Caenorhabditis elegans: one gene and its partner. The protein of the gene in region 1 purifies or fractionates together with the protein of each later gene. This does not show direct contact. Each region holds a gene or a part of one and is shown in the gene's direction. Other genes may lie near its edges.

The links.
Region 2: the proteins of ptp-3 (region 1) and plx-2 purify together in Caenorhabditis elegans (affinity purification with western blotting, with the first as the bait; one study listed by BioGRID). This does not show direct contact.

What each region holds. Positions count from the first base shown.
Region 1 is NC_003280.10:10,973,039-10,979,787, forward strand, and holds the start of ptp-3 (protein-tyrosine-phosphatase), read left to right. Parts: upstream 1-2,530; coding exon 2,531-2,798; intron 2,799-3,147; coding exon 3,148-3,289; intron 3,290-3,334; coding exon 3,335-3,575; intron 3,576-3,978; coding exon 3,979-4,192; intron 4,193-4,339; exon of another isoform or gene 4,340-4,489; intron 4,490-5,419; exon of another isoform or gene 5,420-5,628; intron 5,629-6,749. UniProt on the Caenorhabditis elegans protein: Has a role in early neural and epidermal development; neuroblast movements during closure of the gastrulation cleft and epidermal morphogenesis. Vab-1 and ptp-3 may function redundantly within the same sets of neuronal precursors.
Region 2 is NC_003280.10:14,417,770-14,427,510, reverse strand, and holds plx-2 (Plexin-2), read left to right. Parts: upstream 1-2,619; 5' UTR 2,620-2,629; coding exon 2,630-2,779; intron 2,780-2,913; coding exon 2,914-3,041; intron 3,042-3,086; coding exon 3,087-3,563; intron 3,564-3,611; coding exon 3,612-3,870; intron 3,871-3,914; coding exon 3,915-4,079; intron 4,080-4,287; coding exon 4,288-4,422; intron 4,423-4,475; coding exon 4,476-4,610; intron 4,611-4,654; coding exon 4,655-5,312; intron 5,313-5,374; coding exon 5,375-5,529; intron 5,530-5,578; coding exon 5,579-7,495; intron 7,496-8,116; coding exon 8,117-8,273; intron 8,274-8,321; coding exon 8,322-8,492; intron 8,493-8,541; coding exon 8,542-9,008; intron 9,009-9,057; coding exon 9,058-9,237; intron 9,238-9,282; coding exon 9,283-9,486; 3' UTR 9,487-9,656; downstream 9,657-9,741. UniProt on the Caenorhabditis elegans protein: Involved as a receptor for mab-20/sema-2a in the formation or stabilization of cell-cell contacts at several stages of epithelial morphogenesis. In early embryonic development, required for proper ventral closure of the epidermis.

The sequences.
Region 1 (6,749 bases):
CAATAAAATTACCCGCGCATTTTCAATGAACATATGTACGTTTTGAAATATTTTAAAATTGGAAAAAGTCAAGTAATTAAGTCCCATTGGGCAAAGTTCAAAAACTATTCAAAATTTTAACAATATCATATAGTAACTCAAAGGCTATGTTTGACTTTTGAATAACTGTATTATAAGTGATAAATTCTAACATGAATCAAGTGATTTCATTTGATTCGCATTAGGGGTTTCCTTCCGGACACATTGCCACCGCTTTAAGTCTTTTTGCCGTTTTTTTTCCATTTCTTTCTATGTCTCTTTCTCTCCCCTACCACCTCTGAAAACCACCAACACAACAAAAAACAACAAAAATCTGCGTGAATATAATCGGTTGCACCATAGCGGTGCTCTAGTGATCCCCCAAGGAGTGCCTATTGTCCATTCGGCAACTTTTTCTCGTCCCTTCCGTTTTGCGCCCGTAGTAGCAGTAGAAGCAGGAGAAGCTCTCTTAGATTGACGTCGAACATGATGAGGTCCATTGGTCTTTCACTACACACATTCCTTCCTGTCATTCACATCACTAAATGGTGGAGGCGGTGGAGGAAAAGTGCACACCCGAGATTTTGCAGACAACATCACTTTTATTTCCGCTTTATGCTCTTCTTGAACTCTAAGACTTTCATAAAATTAGATAGATATTACTGTATTTTGCCAAACTTAGCCCTGACTAGAAATTCCATTCCGTTCGGGCGTGACGGTGCCGCTGCCCTCCTCTGAAATTGCCCGGACGGTGCTCAAAAGTTATTTTAACCTTAAAACTCGACAGAACTCAGATATTAGCTTGAACTCATCAGTATTTAAGGTACTTATTATTTCCATTTTATTAAAGACCAGTTTTCAAGGTGTCAAGGTTTCCCATTTTTTTCAAGTGTTGCTAAAGTTTGCCCAGATTGAACCTAATTTTACAGTACAAAATGACTTCGATTATCCAATACAATGCAGCTTTCTATGCAGCTTTCTATAAAATAGATTTTGTACTCAATTACGCTTGAGCTTGATCTTGAGAGAATCTAGATTGTGGCAAGATGAATTTGAGTTGAAATTTTCCGAACCTTTTACAGAATCCGGCTGATGTTCAAGAACTAACTCACAAATTGGTTTGTCTAATTTTTCTCAAAAAAAAAATCTCATTTTGATCTCTAAAAACATATTTTGATGTATCAAAACCCCCTTAATCTGTTGACTCATTGTGAACATTACCTGTTCACTGAAAACTAATTAAACTATAATTTAACACCTGCTCTACAGAAAGTTCTCCCCCTTTTCTCAAAATAAACTATCAAAGTTTTCCAACTCCAACCTCTTGGTGTGAATTCATTCATTACATGGGGGTCATCTAGAAGAGTAATAGTAATAGAAGTAAAATTGTTTCATTTTGCTCCCCTTATTCCTCGATTAGTCTTGTCCCGCCATTTGCATGTTTTTGCTCTGCGTCTCTTCTTCTTCTATACACTCTCTATTTTCTTGCAGAGTTGTTCAAAGTTTAAGCTTTGAGAGAAGCGAATGTGGCAGGGGTGATTTTAACGGGACTTGAAACAAAGCGCTTACAAAAATGTCTTAGAATTCACATATTCAAAAAATTTTTTGTTTGCATTTTTAGAACTTCGAATTTGAACTTTGATTTATATGGTGCTAAAATAACTAATATCGTAGTATTACTTTTCTTAATTCAAAAAAAAAAAACCAAAAAAAATTGTGTTAAAATATGACATTTTGGCCATGAACTATGATAAGGAATTAAATTGAAAAAATCCCAATTCAACTAGGCTTCTCCAACTTGCTATATATTGTCTGAATTTTTAAAATCTAAAAATATACATGAAAATGGTTGTGAAAAGGTTATGCAAAATGATAAAAGTCTGAGCTATTTCCGAATAAAGAAAAAATTTTTGTAAACCCCTCTATTTCATAATTGTGTTCCCTTGATTTCTCAATTAGATTTATCATCTCCTTTCTCCAAATCTCTCGCCCCCGCGCCAAGCCCCCAGCTCCTTCCAAATGACCCCCTCACCTGCCCTTGCGCAATGGTCATTAATAAAAGCAACATTTTCCATTTCCCAAATAAATCCCTGGGACCCCTTCTTCTCCACACCACTTTTTTCTTTTCTCTCTCTTCCTCTTGTTCTTCAACCCATTTGCGCGGCTTTCCAGGTCGCTTGGAAAATTTTTGTGGTGGCTTTTTAATCGGCCTTTCATATCTTTTTGTTTCATGCTCTTGTGCTTCCTGAACTTTGATTATGTAGTTGATGTCACTTCTGCTCTTTTCTTTCTGTTCCCTTAACAATTTTCATTTAAAATTTCAGATCCTCACCTCTAAATCCTCATACCCAACAAAGTCTTCTGTGATCAGAAAGCAGCGCGAATAAAAATTAAAAATTAAATAAAATTAATTTAATTCAAGAAAAAACTTTAAAAAATTTTCCAACAAAAATGGGTGTATCTCTCTAATCAGAAAAACATCATGATCCAATTCAGAAACAAGAACAACAGTATGAATCGGATAGCGCGTCACTTACGAAATGTGGCACGCCGAAAAGGCTCGTCGCTGCTTCTGTTTCTAATGCTAAGTACCGTACTGGTCGCGGCAAAAGAGGACGGTAAGTTGGGGGAAGAGGATGAGGATTTCGGGTGGAATGATGAAGAGCCACCTGATAATCAGGATGTGCAGGACGGGGGAATTCCGTTGGTTCGGAAGGAAGAGTTTACAAATAATCAGCTTTATGCTGAAGCTTATCAGAGTTATATTCAAGCTCTTGCGTGTAAGTTATAGTGCAGGTTTGGTTGAAAAATAATGGTTTTTCGAGAAAACAGAAAAACCTTTGGAATTTTTTTTCAGAAAAAAATTGGAAAACATTTTTTATTAAAAAAATGTTTCAAAAAGCTTTACTACCCCTAGACACTTGTAAAATCAGGAAAAAATCAGGAAAATAATTCAGATTCATTTTTTTTGCAACCACATAGGCCCGGATAAAGCTGTAATACTCCCTAAGATTCCAGCTCAGTTTCAAATTTAAGCGCAGTTTTATGCGGAGGATTCAATTCTAAGTTGTATTGTTGGCAAGAATTCAAGTGAACTATATTTACAGTTTCTATTTTTATAATCTTCAGACCCCGCCCGACTAGTCGTCCGTCCAGACTCATCAACCGTCGTCGATGAATCGAAAATCTCATTTTTCTGTCGAGCAGATGGAAATCCGTTGCCTAGTGTGATTTGGAGAGTCAATGGAAAATCCATAACAGATCATAATCGGTATTAAGGCTTCATTGAAATATATAACTGTTACAAATTTTCCAGAATATCAATAAAATCCTTGGCCACCGGCTTATCGACTCTCCGTTTCGAACGTGTCTCTCTGGATGACAATGCGACTGTTGTGTCCTGCTCGGCTGATAATGGAGTTGCCAATCCAGTTGTCGCAGAAGCATCACTAACCGTTGTCCCACGAGACAAAGTTCCGATTGGGTTCCCTCAAATTGAACTTCATCCATCATTGAAGTCGGTCGAACAGGGGAAAACTGCTTATGTCTCTTGTCGGGTAAGTTTTTTGAAATTTTAAAATAGTTGCGTTTAAGATGGGAAATTCGTTGTATGTATTATGAAAAGATTTTAAAATTTTATCAACAAATAATAATGCTAAAAACTTTTAAAAATATGATATTTCGGAAATAAAAATGAACTTGAAGAAATTAACAATTGAAAGAAGAACAATTCAATATGGAGTTAAAATGGGATTAAAATAGCAAAAATAGCACAAATACCAAAAGTTACCAACACCAAAATATCATAGCACATCTGGAATTACCCTATATACCTGAAACCAAATACTAAAAACTATGTCGGCTGTTTTCAAATTAAAAAAAACAAATAAAAAAATATTTTTTTAAAAAACTTTAAAAATGTTAACGATTCCAAAATCAAATTCAAAAAAATTCTTTCAGGTCCGAGGAGATCCTCGAGCAAAAGTCCTTTGGCTCCGTGACCTGATCCCGCTAGACATTCGTGCAGATGGTAGATACTCTGTAAGTACAATCGGAAACCCTGGAGCCCTGATGATTCAGCATGCTCGAGAAGAAGATCAGGGAAAATACGAATGCATTGCAAGGAATACATTAGGAGTTGCTCACTCGAAAGCCGCAAATCTTTATGTTAAAGGTTAGTTTGGGATGGGGATTTTTTGAGGGAGGGATGTTTTAAAAATTTTTTATATAATTTTAAACCAGAAATTACGGTGCCAAAAAATGTCTGAAAATATATGCTCACACACAATCAAAATTTTTTCAGTTAATGCATTTTAAAAGTTTAAGTTGTTTTAGAAATACATAATGATCCAAATTCAATTGTTGAAAAACTGGAATGCCTAACTTGTTCAGTTATTCATTGAAATTTCGCACTTCGAGAGGGGTCAACTCATCCTAACTAAATTTAAAATAGGCGCCCCAGCCAAAAACTGTTCAAATTTGCATTAAAATAGGTTGTCCATTCCTCCTCCTCTTCTTGTTGCGATCACATTTGCATTTGTTTGAGCATGTGGCTTGATATCTGCGCCTCTTGGTCACTTTTATTCGGTCACTTGTTCTCTTCGTGATTTTCATTTTTATGACATAGAGTGGGAAGGGCGAAACAGAGAGAAATTGATGAGAATAGGTGTGATTCACTGATTTATGTTTGATTCGGTGAGCGAATTTTATTCTAGATTTTAGGCCTGCTAGTTGAAGTATTTTTAATATAACTTTTCATAGTTTCTATTTTTCCCTGATGAGCATTTATATCGGTGGTGCTCATTTGAGCGGAATGCTTTTGTTTCAGCATGACCTTATTTTTTTAAAGCTTTGAGCTTTAGAATAGGTGATTTTTTCTAAAACATTGCTTCTGATCTATTTTTGGAAATATAACCGTTTTCTGACTCAATAATACATAGTGAGGTAGATTTTCAAATCGAGTTAAATTTTTAAAGTTCCAGAGACTTTTTTTTGTAAGATACAGCTCTAAAATTTCAAATTCCAGCCATTTCAACCAAATTTTTAAATTCGAAAAATTATTCTATACATTTTGAAACACTTTTGTTTGAGTCTACAACACTGCCAACACTCTGAAATAGTTTGAGCTTCTAAGCATTTTTAGTCAAAATTTTGGAAAAGTGCCAACCTTTCAAAACAAAAGTGTAAATTTTGGAAAATTTTGCGTTGAAATTTTTCTTTGACAGATTGCTACACCTTTAAATAAAAAAATCTCTTCATAGTTTTTTACCCTCCAAGCTCCTCTCTAGATCTGGCAATCATAAAATAAATTCCAAATGTCAATAAAATCGTCCAAAAACCGCCATCCGGATATCTATCGAGCATTTAGCTTCCATCTTTCTGTGCTCAAACTGTGAGCCATCACTAGTAATTGGAGGTCATCTGGAAGATGTCGGTCGTCATCTAGGCGCCTTCCCGACATGTGTGCTTTATGTGTGCAGGCATACGACGACACCCGATGACCAGCAATTTCTCATTTTTATGACACCCGGCCACAAATTTCGATGATTCTTCTTCCCCGGTGTTGTCGTCTTTTGTGTTGAGAGATGTCTTGTCTTTTGATCATTATCATTACTTGGACTTTCTCTATCATTTCTAGATTTCTATGGCTCACATCTAGATTGTTCGTGAGATGAGAAATTTTCAAAATGTTCTCCAGAATTTACCATAATTCCTCTGACAGCCTTACACTTCTGAAAGTTAAAAGTTGCAAGTTAATATTATTGTCCATTTTTCCTTCATCCATTTTTTAAGTTCTAAAATCTCCGAAATAAAAAAATCAAGTGTTAAAGTTTTGAAAAAATACCCCAATTTTCTCAAAGGTCACAAAACTATGCCTGAACTTATAGCCGACAGTAAAAACATTTTGAATCGATTTTAAAATTACTTTAAAAATTTTCAATTTGTTAAAGACTTTTCAAAAATTAATTTTTATTTTTTGGAGCCTGTAGTAATGAGGTACAGTAACCAAATTTTCAGAACAGAGATTTCTAGATTAATTTTATGGAACAACCTTATTGAAAAAACTATTAAACTGTATATATCCCTTTTTGTTGCATAAATAATATAATCCCTTAATTGTACTATATTAAATTAAAAATCTTCCCAAACCACCTAATTTCCGGTAGATTTCCTCTTGCTTCTCCTAATCAGTAAACTGTTGTAAATCTCGACGCTTCTCCATCTTTTCACAACAACAATTAAATTAAAAGTGCGCGAAATGTTTGCATAAGTTAATGGAAATACATAGTGTATATCACGATGAGGAGACGCAGACAATTTAGTGTTTATGACAGTTTGGTGGTTCATTTTCATTTTCAACAACACACGCTTCTTCTTCATTCCCATTACTCATTCATTTTCCAGCCTGTTTCCGGTGACATCTGTTCTTTTCATTCTGGGGGAGGAGGTACCCGTAAATCAACAAGTTGAACTACCTTTATCCTTGTCCTTCCGACTAGTGTTGATTAGACGAATGTGTTGTCTCCCATTACTTTCAATGGGGTCTTGAGACATCATTTAGTGTTCTCGGGTCATTTAGTTTACTGTTGATGTTGTGATAAAGTATGTTACTACCAGGATTGATGTGGGCCTATAGAACGTTTTGGTATTATTTTCAAGTTAATTTTAGAAATTTGAACTATAAAACAAAAATTTAGATTTCCCATTTCTTGTATAAACCATTCTTGTAT
Region 2 (9,741 bases), 3.4 Mb from region 1:
AATATTTTCTCACATCTTAATTTCAAAAACTATAAGGGTAGCTCTTAATCTCCGCCCACGAAAAAGGCGTTAACTTAAATGCCTGGACAATTAAAATTGTTTAACAGGTTGTGAATAAACAATTCAAATCAAAATTAAATTATCATTTACGACCAACATTCTGTCGAAAGTCAATGTTTAGAAACTGGGCAGCTGTCTCTATACTAGTTCCCTGTTCCATTCTCTGTTATATCCAGCTATTTGCATATATATACGGTCCTCTTCTCATTGTCCCCATCTTTTTCCGAGTTATTCAGTAGTGCTCTTTATGTGCTCACACACACTCATAACCAATTATCCTATTGTTCCCCCGGTTTTGAGCGGAAATTTACGGGTGTCATCATCATCATTATAGTAGGATATATTATTTTAGTGTTTTTTTTTAGTCTTTGAAATTTTTGAAACCCAGTCAAATTTCCTAACTTTGAAATATACGTGTTTACCATAGCGAATTTGCATAATTCATTCTGACCACACATGATATTTATGGCATATACACATGTATACATTCATGAAAGTATTACACCACTTGATTGCCCAATAGAAAGTGTTAATCTAATCATAAAAACTTTATACTTTATAGGTACGAGATAGCTGGCAACAATAATTTTTCAATCTCATCGAATTAGAATTGTAATGTCCTAACAAAGCAAACTTGTAAGGCAAAATCTGGTTTGATTACAAAAATAGTGCTGAATCTGCCAATTTCACTATGCAGAAATAAAGTTTTTTGAAAAGTTACAGTCAGAAAATAGCAGTTACTCAGTTTGCAATAAGGCTGTGCGGCTGGTAGAAAAATTACAAAGAATCGAAAGTTACCGAAAGACAAAACTAATTTTTAAAAAATTTAAACAACGCTACTAGGTTCCAGACACGATGTTTATAAGGGAACTCCGGCAATTGAGCAAAACCTTCCTATGTACATGTGTTCTTAGTTCTTCTTGAAACTCTCATGTTAATAGGTTCACAACCTACTTAACCCCTAGAACACGCTCTGTTTGTTTTTGACACCGTCTTCCGTTGTCTCTTGCGCTCCGCCGTCATCACCTGCCACGCAGCTCATTAACTCATTAACTCATAAGCTTGTGCCTTGTCTTGGCTTAGCTGTATATATATACGCTTCCTTAGTCTATATAGAACACCTACTAATGATCCTAATGTGCATGCATTTTTATTTTTGTACCAGTCGGCAGTTTTTCAAGATATAATCCAAATTATTTCAATTATTTGAATTTTTGTGAAATTTTAGTCTAGACCCATATGGCCCAAAACTGCCAAATGTTGTGTAAAGGCGTTCTGAAATATTAGCACTAAAGGAGTTTTTTTTTAAATGAAATCCCACTGCCCCACAAATAACCATCACTATTTCAATAATCAATACTATAAACTTTACACACTCTGTTCCGGAGTCCTCACCATGTGATCGATTAGAATCAAACTCATTAATCATTTTCTTTGACATAATTCGCGGGTTGCTCTCTACCCGACTTTTCGCAAATACAAACTGAACATCTGTCTGCCGAGTTAGTGATCATTAATGAATATTTATCTAGTTTCAGATTTTTTCGTATGTACATACATATTTCTATTTCATTTTCCCCCAACCCGGCTTACCCAGTCCCTCCGGATCCTCCTGACACATTTCCCCTTGTCCGTCCATCTATTTTCATTGTCCATCCCATTTTTTGCTCTTTTTTGCTTGTGCTCTTTTTCATATCTTCTTTTGCTTCTCAGTTTCATGTTCCATTTTTGGTTTGGACCCTATAGGACCGAAAACTCATTTGGGGATTACATTTATGTCATTTTTACTCATTTCCCCTCATTTTACGTTTCCGTTTCTTTTTAAAATATTACATGTTTCTCTACGGACCTCCAAAAGGCTACGGCTTCTATTCAAAAAATATAACTGCCTGCCTGCCTACAAGGTGATCTATGCCTTATACAACTAGAACTACAAAAATTTTGGTCACTACTAGTTAATTCTGAATTTGGTTCAAACAATCTATAAAATGAGAAATTTATAAATTGTATTTACTAATCCAAATGTACTTCTTCAAAACGTAACAAACAAATGACCATTTTGTAAATGTCTGCACAAAAAATGTCTAACCGATTCGCTTCATCGACGACCATCGGTTCACTTTTTTTCGTTTGATTGATCATGATGGAAATGGTCAGTCAAGTATTGTATTGCATTACAATTAAACATTGAATTCGTTCACGTTTCAAGTGATTTATAGGTTATGTGGTTATTGAAGAATGGGGAGACATTGGACACAGGTATTTCCTTATGTTGGAAAAATTTATTACATTTTTTTTTGGAATGAATTAACCTAGTTTTTGCATTTTTGGTTTTTCATGAAAATTTTTAATCAAAATACTATTGAGGTTAGTAAATTCTTTTTTGGTGTCACGTTTTATTACTTCGATGAGTTGGTAGAAGTTAGGAGTTAATCGCCTTTTAGTCAAACATGCAGGCATATTAGTACCTTTATTTTCAAATTTCTGAATTGGCTAAACTTCTTTTAAATTTCTCTATTACTTTTTTTCTGAAATGATCATAAATCTTCTTATTTTCAGAAATGCGATTATGCTCCCCGAATCGGTGTTTCTTCTCCTAATCAGCCATTTTCTGCGGGCGGTAACCCAGCCGCCCTTTGAAACAGAAGGCGTGAAACAAAAATTATTTCATTTTTCTGGACACATTGACGACTTTATTGTCTCGAGGGACCAACAAACGGTAGGACATCTCACAATTTCGAGAATTTTGAGAAAACTATCATTTTTGAAAGCTAGGCACGCCCTCATTTCTGCCTGCCTAATAAGCCTAAGCAGAAGCCTATAGTTGGTACCTGAGTAATTTTAATCTTTCAGATCTACGTGGCATCTCTCAACCGACTAACATCTTTATCAATTTCTAATTTTTCAATACAACATGAGGTTTCACTCGGTCCGGTTCAAGATTCTCCTTGGTGCTCTGCAGATGGAAAATCTTGCTTAAAGCTAGTTAATCAACATCACGTCTTTATCCAAATTATTATTTTCAGAGACAATCGCCCCTTCCCAACAGATGTTCGCACAAAAATCCTACAAATCCTTCCCACAAATCAAATTCTTCAGTGTGGTTCTGTAAAGCTCGGGTCATGCTCCACGTTCAATTCGAAGTTATCTCTCATCACTGAATCCACTATCGCAGTTGCCGCGAATTCTCCAGACGCGTCCACAGTATCGAAAATCATCGATAATCGTTTAATTGTTGCGGCAAGTGCAACGAAAGAATCTCCGTATCGAGACCCGTTTCCAGCGGTTGCAATTCGAAACTTGCCCGGTCTGAATGTTGAGAATGCCGGTGATCTGGAAGGAGAAGCTGCAGTTTTCCTGAGAGCAGCTTACAAGAATGCATTCAAGTTTTTGTACACCTTTACGCATCAACATTTTGTGTTTGTGGTCGCCATGGTCACACCAAGAGAGTCAAGATTACCTATGACAACCAGGTTGATACGATTCTGCCGAAATGACACAAAGTAGGTGTTTAGGCCAAAAATTAGCAAAAGTTATATCCCTATTTTCAGATTTGAATCCTACTCTGAAATCGAACTTCAATGCCGCGGAGAGGACAATACCAACTATCCATTTCTGAACGCAATCATTCAATCCTACGACAAGCTGATCGCATCGTTCTCAACATCATCCACATCTCCAAAAAGTTCCATTTGTGTATTTTCGATGCAAAAAGTGAAGCTGACTTTTTGGTACAATGTGGATAGGTGTAGAAGTGGTACTGATTCGATTAGACTACCTCATATCGGGAGAGATACAAAATGTGTTAATGCAAGTTTTAGGTTTTTCAATGAAGAAATTATTTCGCTTTTCAGAAAGCCCACATACCCCTCGACGAAGATAGCTGTGAGCTCGGTGTTGGTGGATCAATTGAACTTGTTGAGATGTCCACAAAAGACATTATGGGAAAGGTGACGTCATTGATGGCTGTAGATCAAAAAGCAATTTTCGCGGGAACAACAACTTCGCAGATTGTGATGGTAAATTTTACTAAAAAAGCTAGCTAGATTCACACGACTAACTGCTTGTGATCCATCATTGTCGCTGACCCTAAACAGCATTTCGAATGACACTTTAATCTTCAAAAATGTATATGAAAACAAATGTCAATCAAATGCATATCACAAAGGGATTATTTCTTGAAATCATAGGACTGATCTTTAAAAAAACTATTACAAACAATTTTAGTTTAAATGGGACGAGCACCATTCAAACCAGTTGGAAGAGTACGGTAGAAAGGAAGTTGGAGATGGGCGAACTGGGAGCGAGGTCAGCAAAATGGTCAAATTTGGGGATTTTGTCATTGTGCAGATGCCATATGGAGTAAGTTTATTTTGAAAAAAGGGTTTCATGTAGAACAAATTTTGGTTTTTTAGATCATATTAGAAGAGCTTTCCACTTGCTCTCATCACAGCTCATGCACAGAATGCTTAGTCTCTGTAGACCCACTCTGCCAATGGTGTCATCCGACGCAATCGTGTACGACTTCAGCAAGGTGTACTAGTCCAGTTGTAAGCAAGTTTATCTTTGTTCTATTTTGGCATACACGTTTCAGACTTCTCAGTGTCCAATTGTCGATGGTGATCCGATTCCTTCAATAGTCTCCGTGAACTCCTCTACCCCTATATCCTTCAACATTCACCATCTTCCACCTCCAGTCGGTTTCACTTATAGATGCCAATTCGGAACATCAACATCATCTATCAAAGCTAACTGGACAACGACCGGAGTTTCATGCCCATCGGAAATTTTTACATCACCAAACACTTTTGAAATTTTGTTGCTAACATCAATTTCCAATAATCCAATCAGCCGTCACAACTTCACAGTTTACGATTGCTCGGGTTACGGTACATGCTCGTCCTGTATGAGCTCTGAGTACAATTGTGCCTGGTGCTCTGGATTGCACAAATGTTCGAATTCCTGTGGGGCATTGGAAAAATCAAAAGCCTGCGTGAAAATTCAACCAATGAGGCTCCCAATTGCTATCGGTTCTCAACAAGAAATCGTGCTCGAGGCGTCTAACCTGGATACTCTTGATCGAAGGCACGAACATTTTTGTAAAGTAAACGAGCAAGTGTCTCTTGCAAAGATTGCAAGCGATAGTATCCGTTGTGGCAAGATTCAGTTGACTTTGAGCAACACTACGAGTGCAAACATGGTGGTTCCGTTGAGCCTGATCACAAGGGACTCTGTAATTGATATTGCTAATGGTAAGTACCAGAGATTTGTGAATTCAGTTTACAATACATACTTTAATTGAACTGCTTTTCAGTGTCCCTTTACTCTTGCACCAACCTGGCATCTGACTGTTCCAGTTGTCTTGCTCTTTCCCCTTCACTATCATGTGGATGGTGTAATCGACAGTGCTCCCACGAGTGCCACGAGTCAAAGGCCACTGCTGTGTGTGATCCACCAAGAATCGATAAAGTAAAAATGATATGAATACGTATATATCTTGTATTTAAAAATGTTTCAGTTCGAACCAACAAGTGGGCCCATCGAAGGAGGCACAATCATCAAAATCTATGGGAATGACCTGGGCATGTCTGTAGAAGACGTTCGTGGAAAGATCTATGTCGCCGGTTCTAGATGTAATATTGTGGAGTATCATGTTTCTAACATGATTGCATGTCAAGTCGACAAAGGTGTCAGCTCGGGCCCAATCAGGATATCAGTTGGTCGGGCAACAGTTGCAGTAGCAGAATCATCGGAACTATATTCGTTTGTAAGAACATCAATATTCTCCGCTTACCCCCTGTATGGCCCAATATCTGGCGGAACTCGAATAACTCTGTACGGTCAGAACTTATCAAGTGGATCTCAAACCTCTGTGACAGTTGGTGGCATGCCGTGTCCTATTGAAAGGGTAAATTCTTCAACAGTTTTGACTTGTCTAACACCTTCTGGAACTCGAATTGGAAAATCTGCTAGAGTAGTTGTTCATGTGGATCACTCCCAGACTCAACTCGATCAACCATTTGAATATCGATCGGACCCGTCTATTAGCTCAATCTTCCCGATGACTTCTTTCAAAGCCGGCGGAAGAATTGTTTATGTTCAAGGCAACTCATTGAACACTGTTCAAACAGCAAAGCTATTCCTCATATCATCTCCAACACCTCCGTTTTATATAATATCTGATCTGGCTCCATGTCACATCATTAACTCTACATTAATGACTTGTATGACTCCAAAAATTTTGGAAACAATCACTAGAAGAGTTGAGTATACACGGCAACCTGTGGGTTTTCACATGGACAATGTCACAGCTGTAGCAAATTTGGGAAGACGAATTCAGATGGGCATCTATCCGAATCCGACGCTTTCTCCGTTCAAAGGAGTACGATATCATCAGGGAGAACAATCACTCATTCTTGAAGGACACAATCTAAATCTTGCTGCGGAGCCAAATGATTTCAAGATCTTCATTGGAAATGAGAGATGCTACGTGACACTTGTAGATGTTAGGCAATTGGTGTGCTCGGGACCGGTGAGGCAACCAAAAGCTACCGATGAAAGAGGAATTCCAATTAATGGGGATAACCCGCTGGTTACTGTAATAGTTGGATCACTTAGAATGGAGCTTGGGTTGATTGAGTATTCCGATCATGCACTCCCGTCCAGACTATCACTTTTGATTCTTGGGCTACTTCTGTTCATTGTTGTCACGTTGACTGTGATGTGCTTGGTTTTCAAGCGGAGGCGTCAAGAACGAGAGAAAGAATACCGAAAGATTCAGCTTCAAATGGAAAATCTTGAAAACAATGTTCGTAAAGAATGCAAGCAAGCATTCGCTGAACTTCAAACAAACCTAGTACTATCTCCAAAGTCTGCAAATTCTGTGAACCTTGGACCGGAACTCATCAACTTCCCGCATTTTGTGGAGAACCTGCTCTGGTCTGATAACAACCTTACATCTGCGCCGAGTTTGGCAAGGACTCTCCCAGTGACTCTTGCTCAATTTCATGCACTTCTGAGCTTCAAAGGCTTTATTTTCACTATCGTAGAAGCTGCAGAATCGGATGTCTCCATATCAACATCAGAGAAGTCAATGTTAGCAAGCCTCCTGATATCTGTGTTACTTCGAAACTTCTCTTATTGCACTGAAGTTGTTGTGGACCTTCTACGTGCCCATATCGCAAGATCGGTTCAAAATAAGCGCGCCGAGTTACTGTTTCGGAATAGTGACTCGGTGGTGGAGAAAATGTTCTCAAAGTGGATGAGCATTTGTTTGTACTCCCATTTGACTCCGCAAATGAACTCGTACTTCTATCTATATAAGGCGCTACAATATCAAACTGACAAAGGACCCGTGGACGCGGTGACCGGTGATGCGAGATATACGATTAACGAGGCCAAATTGTTAAGGGAGAGTGTGGACACAAAGACTTTGGTGAGCTTTTTTTCAAATTTTCAAATGTTCAAGGTTTTATAAAAAGTTTCACAAGTGTTTAAACTCATAGAGGTTAAAGATGATTTTTAACTTTACAATGTATCTTTTACTACGGTGATTTTTTTTACTACGCTTTGTATCTTATTATTGTATCTTACTAGATGTTTTTTACTACGAGTTCAAAACTCATTTTTATAATTTATTCCAAGTATAATTACCCAAATATAGTGAATACAAATGTCGCACTTGTAGTTTGTAGTCAAGTAGTTCTAGTAAATTTGAGTATACCCGGGTTAGTAAAATAACAACGTAGTATATAAGATGAAATAGTGAGAAAATATTTTCCTATTATTTCAAAGTTTACTAGACTACGAGAGAATCAACGGTTATTATGAACGGCTACTAAATTTTATTATCGGAAGAAACGAATTTTGGTAGAAATTCCACAAAATTGTGAATTGATGTAACAAATTTACATAGTTATTTAACCTGGATTAATCAGAAAATATATAATTCATTTTAACAACATACCTTTGTTTCAGTTTTGAAACGTTTACAGTTGATCCCACAGGAAAAGGGAAAGCAAGTCTAATTGATATGCTATTTTTGGTTAATTTTCAGAAAATTCGTGTGATTCCATTTGAAAAATGCGATGAATCAATAGATCTTGAAGTTCATGCATGCGACGCAATTTGTCAAGTCAAACAAAAAGTTGCTTCAGCTGTCTATCGTGAAACACCATATTCACAGCGACCGAGAATAACGCAGTTCGAATTGAGTGGGTCATAAATAATCCCATATGTGTCTTCAATCAGTTTTTTTTCAGAATATAAATGTCCCAAACGGGGAGATGTGAAACTGACCGATGTTTTGCCAATTGAGACGTTATCGCAGAAAAAGCTACCAGTAAAGTTGTTCACTTTGGCAGATTACGGTATCAGTGATGGCTGTACGCTGGAAATGTCTCCAGCGGTTTATACAGCGGAAAGCTATAGAAGTGAGTTAATTGAAGAAACAAAATTTGAATATAACCCTTAAAATTTCAGATTCTCTCGCAGATTCTGGACAATCTTCCTGGTCATCGTTAGATCGATGCTCTCCAATTTATTCATCTTCAAAATACTATCACCTAACAAATCCGTCATCTGGAACTATGACTTTCAAGAAGAAATCTTCAAACGACAGCAATTTGCTACCCAAATCTATTCCAGAAGTGTACCTAACAAGGTTGCTCACTTCAAAGGGAACAGTAGAAACTTATGTGGAAGACTTCCTAGAATCCGTACTATACATGCACGATTCAAGCTACCCGCCAATTTTAAAATTCTTCTTTGACATTTTGGATCGTGAAGCTTCAGTGAACGGAGTTTCTGAAAATATTTGTCAGCAATGGAAGGCTAATGGCTACGTTCTCAGAGTTTGGGCCAATTTTGTTAGAAATCCGCAGTTGGTGTTCGATGTTCCTCATTCTATTTCCATGGATGCAAACTTGAGTACAGTAGCGCAAACTATGGTGAGCGAATCACTTTTCTGTTATATTATTTTCTGACAAATAAATTCAGATGGATTGCTTCTCATTCTCTGAACCTGTTCTCGGAGCCCATTCACCGTCATCTCGACTTCTTTTTGCAAAAGACGTGGCGAGGCTCCGGCCCCTTTCAGTGGACTTATTCAAGCGAGTCAAAAATAGTCCTCCACTAGGAATGGATGAGTTGAGAACGGAGTTGGTGAACATGGCCAATGTGAGCAATTTTATGCTTAACATAATATATTAGTAAATTTTCCAGGATGTGTCCACGTGCAAAGGATCTTCCCTAGCGCTCTCCGAACTTCTGTCCTGGGTTCGAGGAAACGGAATTCGCATTTCCCAACTGTTATCCTCAAATGAGCAGTTCAGCCAACAACGTTTGCCTCAAAAACTCTCACAAGTTCTCCATGTTTGCTTGGAGACTGACAATCATATTTATTCGACAATTTCTGATTATGAATAAGCGATTACTTCAGAAAATTCTATCTCGATTCTTATACGGTTCCCCCATTTGTTTTCCCGTCAGGTATTTCTTGTCTTTCCACTATCATTATTTGATTTTTTGAATTTTGCGACTTGTGAATGAAACTTGTTGGTTCAAAATACCAGGTATTCACTGAACATCAAACAATATCCTTGTTAGGTACTTCCATCTAGGCGGTAAAACTGCCTGCCTGATCTTAAGGCGACCTCCTGCCTCTTGCCTCAATCCGCGCCT